Linked DNA regions of Macaca fascicularis. The protein of the gene in region 1 binds, or shares a complex with, the protein of each later gene. Links are inferred from orthologs where the notes say so. Each region holds a gene or a part of one and is shown on either strand. Other genes may lie near its edges.

The links. Proteins that work in one complex are often made in the same cells at the same time.
Region 2: the proteins of AP3D1 (region 1) and AP3S1 are in contact, whole or in part, in a cryo-EM structure (PDB 9C5C), measured with the Homo sapiens proteins. The link is inferred for Macaca fascicularis from reciprocal best matches to the Homo sapiens genes AP3D1 and AP3S1. Residues at the interface, in NP_003929.4 of Homo sapiens: Leu18, Gln19, Val22, Arg26, Cys60, Thr63, Tyr64, Gln66, Met67, Leu68, Gly69, Tyr70, Asp71, Ile72, Ser73, Lys87, Phe88, Thr89, Arg92, Ile93, Leu96, Gln100, His103, Tyr126, Leu132, Thr133, Ser136, Tyr161, Lys164, Lys165; in NP_001275.1 of Homo sapiens: Met1, Lys13, Pro14, Arg15, Leu16, Ser17, Lys18, Phe19, Pro22, Tyr23, Glu25, Asp26, Gln28, Gln29, Arg42, Asp43, Glu44, Asn45, Val46, Cys47, Asn48, Phe49, Ser80, Glu81, Ser82, Glu83, Leu84, Gly85, Leu87, Asp88.

Annotation. Positions count from the first base shown.
Region 1 is NC_088393.1:2,798,359-2,802,628, reverse strand, and holds the start of AP3D1 (AP-3 complex subunit delta-1), read left to right. Parts: upstream 1-1,269; 5' UTR 1,270-1,490; coding exon 1,491-1,586; exon of another isoform or gene 1,587-1,995; intron 1,996-4,270. UniProt on the Homo sapiens protein: Part of the AP-3 complex, an adaptor-related complex which is not clathrin-associated. The complex is associated with the Golgi region as well as more peripheral structures.
Region 2 is NC_088380.1:122,490,569-122,494,324, reverse strand, and holds part of AP3S1 (AP-3 complex subunit sigma-1), read right to left. Parts: intron 3,161-3,756; coding exon 3,053-3,160; intron 1-3,052. UniProt on the Homo sapiens protein: Part of the AP-3 complex, an adaptor-related complex which is not clathrin-associated. The complex is associated with the Golgi region as well as more peripheral structures.

The sequences.
Region 1 (4,270 bases):
GTGGCACTATCTCAGCTCACTACAACCTCCGCCTCCTGGGTTCATGAGATACTTCTGCCTCAGCTTCCCAAGTAGCTGGGATTACAGGCACATGCCACCACGCCCAGCTAATTTTTGTATTTTTAGTAGAGATGGGGTTTCACTATATTGGCCAGGCTAGTCTCAAACTCTTGACCTCATTATCCACCCGCCTTGGCCTCCCAAAGTGCTGGGATTACAGGTGTGAGCTGCCGCGCCTGGCCCATCTTACCCCAGTTTTTATTGCTGATACTTTCTCTCTTTTTTTTTAGACGGAGTCTTGCTCTGTTGCCAGGCTGGAGTGCAGTGGCGCCATCTTGGCTAACCGCAACCTCCGCCTTCCGGGTTGAAGCGATTCTCCTGTCTCAGCCGCCCAAGTAGCTGAGATTACAGGTGCCCACCATCACAGCCAGCTAATTTTTGTATTTTTAGTAGAGACGGGGTTTCACCATGTTGGCCTGGCTGGTCTCGAACTCCTGACCTCAAGTGATCTTCCCGCTTTGGCCTCTCAAAGTGCTGGGATGACAGGCATGAGCCACCGCGCCTGGCCGAGCTTAAAGTTTTTTTTTACAATCTCAGTGATGTATCTCGGAGGGCAGGGACTCAGTATATCTCATTTACTGCTGCATGCCCAGCGCCCCTTACCATGCCTGGCACACAGTGGGCCCTCGACAAATGTTTATTGAATGAATGACAATGTCGTAGTCTTGTCTCTGGCCTCATTTTCTTCCTGTGGGCATGTTAATCTCTGTCTTGCCCATTTCACAGGATGTTGTGAGGCTGCAGGAACCACAGGACCCGTTCCCCCACCCGCCCAGGCGTTGGGTTTGGAGGCTCTCAGGACGCGTCAGCTTTTACATTCAGGAAAGGCGGAGCTCCAGTCTTCCCCGAGAACTTGCCGGCTAAGCTCCACGTGGGCACCCCGCCCACATCCAGCCACGCCCACACCCGTCAGCTGATGGGAGGGTCAGGACCAGACTCTAAGGGCGTGGCTAGAGCCCAGAACGAGGAAGAAGGCGGAGTTCCGGAGGTCACTGACCAATGAAAGCGCAGGTCTTTTGGCCGGAAAAGGCGGGGCCGCGAGCCGGAGAAGGTGGTGCCACATTTCCATTGGGATACCTGTCGTCGTCAGGGAAATGAAGCGTCTCCCCGCCAGGGAGGTGAAGGGGCGGGGCTTCCTGGGAGGTGGGGCTTCTGAGGCCGGCTCGGCTGGGACCGGGCGCTCACGGTCAGCTGACCGGCCGCCATCTTGTCCGCCATTTGCAAGTGGCCCGGAGCAAGATCGCGGCACCTGCCGAGCGGGTTGCCACCTCTGCGGCGGTCCTTGGACCCCGCCGCCGCCCTGGCCTGGGAGCCTGCCCCGCCGCAGCGGCCGGCAGCGCAGCGCTCCGCGGGCGGCAGGCGCGGACCCCAGGCCCCCTCACGGCGCCCAGCCGCGGGCCTCCCGGGGCAAAAGCCCGTGGGCCGCCGCGATGGCCCTCAAGATGGTGAAGGGCAGCATCGACCGCATGTTCGACAAGAATCTGCAGGACTTGGTCCGCGGCATCCGTAACCACAAGGAGGACGAGGTGAGCCTGGCGCGCCAAGGGGCGGCTCGGCCTGGTCACCGCCCCAGCCCCGGGCCCAGCGCTGCTCACTGGGCCTGCTCGGCCCGGGCTCTGTCTTAGTTCGAGGTCCCGCTCTCGGCCTCGGCCCTGCCTGGCCTGGGCCTGGGGCGCCGCCCTCGTCTTCGGTCCCTCAGCCTCAGTTTACCCCCGAGGGGCGAAGGCCTTAGAGCAGCACGTCTAGGGTCCTCGCCTCATCGGATCACCACGGGGAAGCGCTGTTCAAAATGCAATGCTCTGAGCCCCGCCGATGCGTGCTCTCCCCCTGGACCCTCAGTTTACTCGCTCAGAGGGAGATTCGGGCCCACCTCCCGCTTGGCTCGGGTGACCCTCCCAGGAGACTTCCGAGGTCCTTGGACAGAGTTTCTCCAACGTGAGTGTGTTTCCGAATCACCGATTAAAAATGCAGGAGCCCGGGCCCCGCCCCCGGACCCTCCCTGGGAGACCGGGGCAGGGGGTCCTGGGCCGCCCCTGGAGAAACTCCTTCCTTCTGGGTAGTGTAAATGCGTGTCCAGGTTGCTGCCTGGGGCCTGGCTCGGAACCGGGCAGGGTCTTGGGGCCTTGCCTCCAGTGCCCCGGTTCCCAGGAAGGCGAGGCTGCTGCTGGGAAGGAGGGAGGACAGCGGCATCCTAAGCCCGAGTGAGGTAGCAGCCTGGGGGAACCTGGAATGGGGAAGCTAACTTCAAGTAGGAACCTGAAAGCCAGCGCGAGGAAACGGTTTTCCAGAAGTAAAATTACAACTATGGGGATCGTTTCCTTCCCGCTTCTCCCCTCCCCCAACCTGTGACCTAGATTGAAAAAGAATGGGCACAGTGGCCAGCAAGCGTCTTGCTTCCTTGAAGGATACCCATGCAGCCCTTGGGCAGTGGGAGCCTTAGAAAGTGTCCTACCTGAGGACTGCCTGTCTGCTTCCCTGCGTGGACAGCAAGGCCGGCCTGAAGGAGATCCGCCTCTGATACCGCACCAGTCCCAGTGCCAGAGGCTGTGTCCCGGACGAGGTGCCCAGGAGGGCAGGGAAGTGAAGGGGTTTGCTTGCAGGCTCTGTGTCCCTCAGCCCATTGCCCCTCTCCCTGGGAACCTGAGCTCTTGCCGGATTGTTACACCTTTACACTTTTCTGGAAGTGGTGTGGCTTCGCCTGCCCCCACCTTAATGAGGTCATTTTTGTTCTTCTCCACCCCCCTTACCTTCGGCCTCCTTGGTTTTCATCATCTCAGAAGCTCTGCCTAACTGCTTTGGTTACAATGTGTAACTAACTGGAGTAATGTTCAGATTCTTTGTGAGTTGAAAGCGTGGCTGATGGGCCTGCTTTTACTGTACTGAGCGTGGTTCACCAGATTGGAAATGTGCTTTGCTTCCCGAGAGGCCTTTTTCTGCACAGGCAGGATCTCCCAGTGCCCGTCCCTGTCCCTGTCAGCACATGTCACTGAGCAGCCTGTTCTGGAATCCTGAGGATGGGCCGGGGGGGTTTGTCCAGTGGAGGACCACACCTCTAGTCTGGGGCGTGGTTTTCAGGGGGATGTGCCTGTCTTCACTGGGAAGCTCCTGAGCCTGGGTTTCTTCCTTTGGAATTGGTGTGAGTTCATAGCGCTTTCCCTATAAGCATGGGCCCCTTCAAGGGGGTATTGGTGGTGGAAACATTTTTTTTTTTTTTTTTTTTTTGAGAAAGAGTTTTGCTCTTGTTGCCCAGGCCGGAGTGCAAAGGCATGATCTTGGCTCACTGCAACCTTTGCCTCCCAGGTTCAAGCAATTCTCCTGCCCCAGCCTCCTGAGTAGCTGGGATTACAGGCATACGCCACCACGCCCAGCTATTTTTTTTTTTTTGTATCTTTAGTAGAGAGGGGGTTTCACCATGTTGGTCCGGCTGGTCTCTAACTCCTGACCTCAGGTGATCCGCCCGCCTCAGCCTCCCAAAGTGTTAGGATTACAGGTGTGAGCCACTGCATCCGGCTGGGAAACAATTTTAAACGGCGCAGCGCGTCCTTGAAAGTCCCAGACTTCCTCATGGGCCCTGCCGTTGGCCAGTGGGTGATTTCAGACAGGACGTGTGGTGTCTGGGGACCCGGCTTTCTCGCCAGAAGACCGTTGTTGTGGCCCAGAGGGTCGTAACTCAGCTGTTCATGTCTGATTCTGGATGTTGTCTGCAGCTGCTGGAGTCTCCTGATTGGAGAGCAGCAAATGACTGTTCAGTGACGGTTCTAGCCGTCCCCCCAGCACCCGCACTCACTCTGAAAACGCAGCTACCCTGTAGACCGTATGTTGTGGGCTCTTCCCTCCCACCCACCGCGCCCGGAACGAAGACTCTAGATGGTGTGCGTTTTCTGCGGCAGTATAGTTTCCAAAAACAGTTTCCATTTCGTAATGGATTTTCCCCTAAAACTTGAGCGTGGCATCATGGAAGCGAGGCTCAGCCGTGACTTTGAAAGCGGCGTGGAAAGGCAGCGCGATGGAGTGGAAATGGCGTGAGGTTTGGGAAATCCGAGTCCAGGTGCTTGGCTGAGTGGCTGACTTCCTGGGGCGGCCCATGGAGAGCCCCCTGCTCTGTCTCCTTCTGTGTAAGTGGGGATGACGGTCACCTGCCTCCTTGCTGAATGACGCTGAGGATGCTGCAGTGAAACGCGGTTTCCTGGAAGCACCAGAGCGCTGAGGT
Region 2 (3,756 bases), on another chromosome or scaffold:
TCTTGTGTCTCAGGCTCCAGAGCGACTGGGATTACAGGCAAGTACCACCATGCCCGGATAATTTTTTTTTTTGTATTTTTAGTAGAGACGGGGTTTCACCATGTTTGCCAGGCTGGTCTCAAACTCCTGACCTCAGGTGATCTGCTTGCTTTGGCCTCCCAAAGTGCTGAGATTACAGGTGTGAGCCACTGCGCCCAGCCAAACAAGTCTTTTAAGTTTATGCTTATATAATAAATTTTAACTGAAATTTAGTAAGAAGATTAGTAAAAGTTTATACTTTGCTTTCAAGTAATTTTGGATTATTCTGCAGAGTAATATCTCTGATAAATTTAACCAATTGAAGTAACATGGACATGAAACATATGAAAGCTTTTGACATTTCAATGTTTCTGGAATAAAGCTAGACGTCGTTCAAACATACTTAAAATATATGAAAGCTACTGAAAAATTAGTCATCATACTTTTCAGTGCTGTTTTAAAAAGATGATCAGGACTAAATGGCCTCACTTTGATTTGAAATCCGATTTCATAACTAAAATATTAGCAGACATTACATGTATAGAAAATATATAATTTTGTGGTTTATCTCCAATCAAACTTAAAACATACTTTCTTGTAAAAGACAAAAAAAGAGAAACTAATTTGGTACGAGCTAACAATTATGTATGATGCAAGATGATCAGGGAATGAAAAATAGAAGTAATCACCAGTATTCTAAACTATTTTAAATAGCATTATTTCTGTGAATGGATTTTAAGTTATAGTATTCTTATAACTATTTCCATTGAAATGTAAATTACATTTTACTGCTCTTTATAGATAAGAAAAATTGCCTCATTAACGAAGTTTTATTCAACAATCAAAAAGCAAATACCCATTATGCAATAATTATAGGTCCTTCATGACTTTCGTCAATATAGCACATTAACCCATTTATGTCAGAGGTTGCAAACTTTTTTTTGTGAAAAATCAGACCTTGGGGATGACCCTGAACAGTAGGATACAAATAACTCCCACAAGCTTAGCATTCCAATAACGGAACACTAGGCATAAATGTGTTAAGTAGCAGAAGAAAAAGAAGGACCACCACCAATGGAAAGGAGTTAAGTACCTGGAAAGGTGAAAATTCCAGACAACTGGTCATACTTTTTATAGATGATTATACAGAATTCACAAATTACTAGATACTCATTCATTATACCAGTTATTAAAGGATTGCATAACTGTTTGTCCCTTGGCATTTAAAATCTATAACCATACAGTTTTGCAAAGCAATGTTTAACAAATGACACATATTTTAAGTTCTTTTAAAACTTTAAAAGCAATAGCTCAGGGTTTACAGTAACCTTTTCTTTACTAAATAATATATTGCAAGTCAGTTATACTAAATTAAATTATGAGTCTTTTTCCTTGTCCCAAAACAAAATTTTCTCTATTAACCTAATTTATGTTTTCCACTTTCAAAAGCCAATATTTTAAAAATTGGCTATAGGACAAACAAAATGTATAGTTACTTAAGAGAATCTTAGCTCTAAATCACCATTATAAACTTCTCCTTTGGGAAACCAACAGGAATGGGAAATTGAGATAAAAATGCAATACTATTTTATTTAAAAGAGAACATTGGAAAATGTTTTTATAAGAAAGCTTCAACTGTTTCTAGATTTCAAATTTATTCTTCATTCTGCGTTTTCTTCAATTAAAATGGGCACAGAATTGAGTTAAACTGATCCTTTAAAATGCCAACAAGATAAATTTTTCAGAACTCACCTGTTGTAAATTAATGCCAGTGTATTTTTAATACCTTGATGTTTTCATAGTAATATTTACTTTAAATCAACAGAACATCTGAGCTTAACACTAATAATTATAAATAAAGTTTGTTTTTTCCAATCTGAGTTATGACTGCAAATACCAAATTTAAGAGTATCCTCAAACCAGCTGGGTGGTGAATGAGATATCAAAAAATTATTGATCTTTTTTTTTTTTTTGAGATGAAGTTTCACTCTGTTGCCCAGGAGTGCAGCGACGTGATCTTGGCTCACTGCAACCTCCATCTCCAGGGTTCAAGTGATTCTTGTGCCTCAGCCTCCCGAGTAGCTGGGATTACAGGTGCGCTCTACATGCCCAGCTAATTTTTTTTTTTTTTTGTAGAGACAGGGTTTCACCATGTTGGCCAGGCCAGTCTCGAACTCCTGACCTCAAGTGATAAAACTATTGCTCTTTCTAAACCTCTGCTAGGGTAATAAACAACCCAAATAATGTGAACCCGGGCGGCTCAGCTACAGCACCTGCTACTGATATTCAGACTAGTGCTTGAGGGAAGAGTCACTAAAATTCTGAAGTAGGGTTTTTATACAATGCTAAAGTGCTGGTTGTTCCTCATTTATCCAATCTAAGGTTGAATCTAACAGCAGAAAGTTAGCTAAGTATAACAAACCAATCCTATAGAATGCAATAAAAACCACGGATATTTATGTACCAATGTCTAAAATATGTGACTTAACTAACTTGTCAGTGAAATCTTAGGGAAAGATCTAGAATTAAAAGATTAAGGTATTGAATTTCTTTTTTGAATGTGAACTCAAACATGCTAGGCATTTATTTATAATTTGAAACATTACTTACTTCCTTATAAGAATTCCATTTCCTGTCCCTGCCCTTTCCAGAAGTAGTTTTGTAACACAAAATTTATATATCTTTAAAATATTAGTTCTAAGACTTCCTTGATAATTACTGATGTTTTACAAAGCAAATATTAGATTCCATTATTCAGATAATTCTTTTAAGCAATAAGATTTGGAATTGTGCTTATTACCCAAGGCAGCTATGACTGTGGCTAAAAGAAGAATACACAAAGCGGTTTGGCAGATAATAGTCACAGAACCTTTAGCATACTAATATGTGTATATTCAATTTTTTAAAAACTGAATGAGCATAACGGCTGAACCTAAAGGGTGATACTGAAGGACAAACAGTGAAAGCTACAAATCATGCGTAATCTGTCATCATGCTTAGAACCTTTCTTAACTATAGCATTTTCCATTCTTACCTCAGATTTTTCCAGCTTATTTTGTGCATCAATTTGTGTAACAATCTCATTCATGTTTGTCTCCAATACCATTCCCCCCATCACCATTTCTGCAAGAATATTGTGAACCTAAAGGAAATAAAAGAACATATACCCATAAAGAAAACTGACTAAAAAGAAGTTTCATGATTCACTTTTTGTTTCAAATACCACTTCATCTATATTAAATGTATGAGTGGTAAAAACAACTTGGAGTAAGGGCTCATAATCCACTTTCATCACTACTGTGAAGTCCTAGGCAGTTATATAACCCCCTTAAGTTAATAGGCTATAAAACATTAAGTTAATGAGCTTAATAGGCTATAAAACAAAAACAATAGTACTAGCTTCATAGGACTGTTGAAAGGAATAAGGTAATCCAACGCAGTACTCAAAACAAAGTAAATGACTAGTAAATATTAACTACCATTCTTATTATGTCAAGTTTAATACTAAAATATGATTTATAAGGGTCTTTTATGCCAGATTCGTAGCCAACAATAATTAGGTTGTTATTTTACTCATTGTACTTAATGAAGCAATGTAACACAGTACTTCTAACAGGCTCTAGATTGGAAAAAGCTAGAATTTTTAAAATTGTGGGTACTTTAATAGTGCTTTTACCCCCAAATCCTCTACACATGTAATACTCAGATTTCTTCTCATAAATACATCTTATAATGACT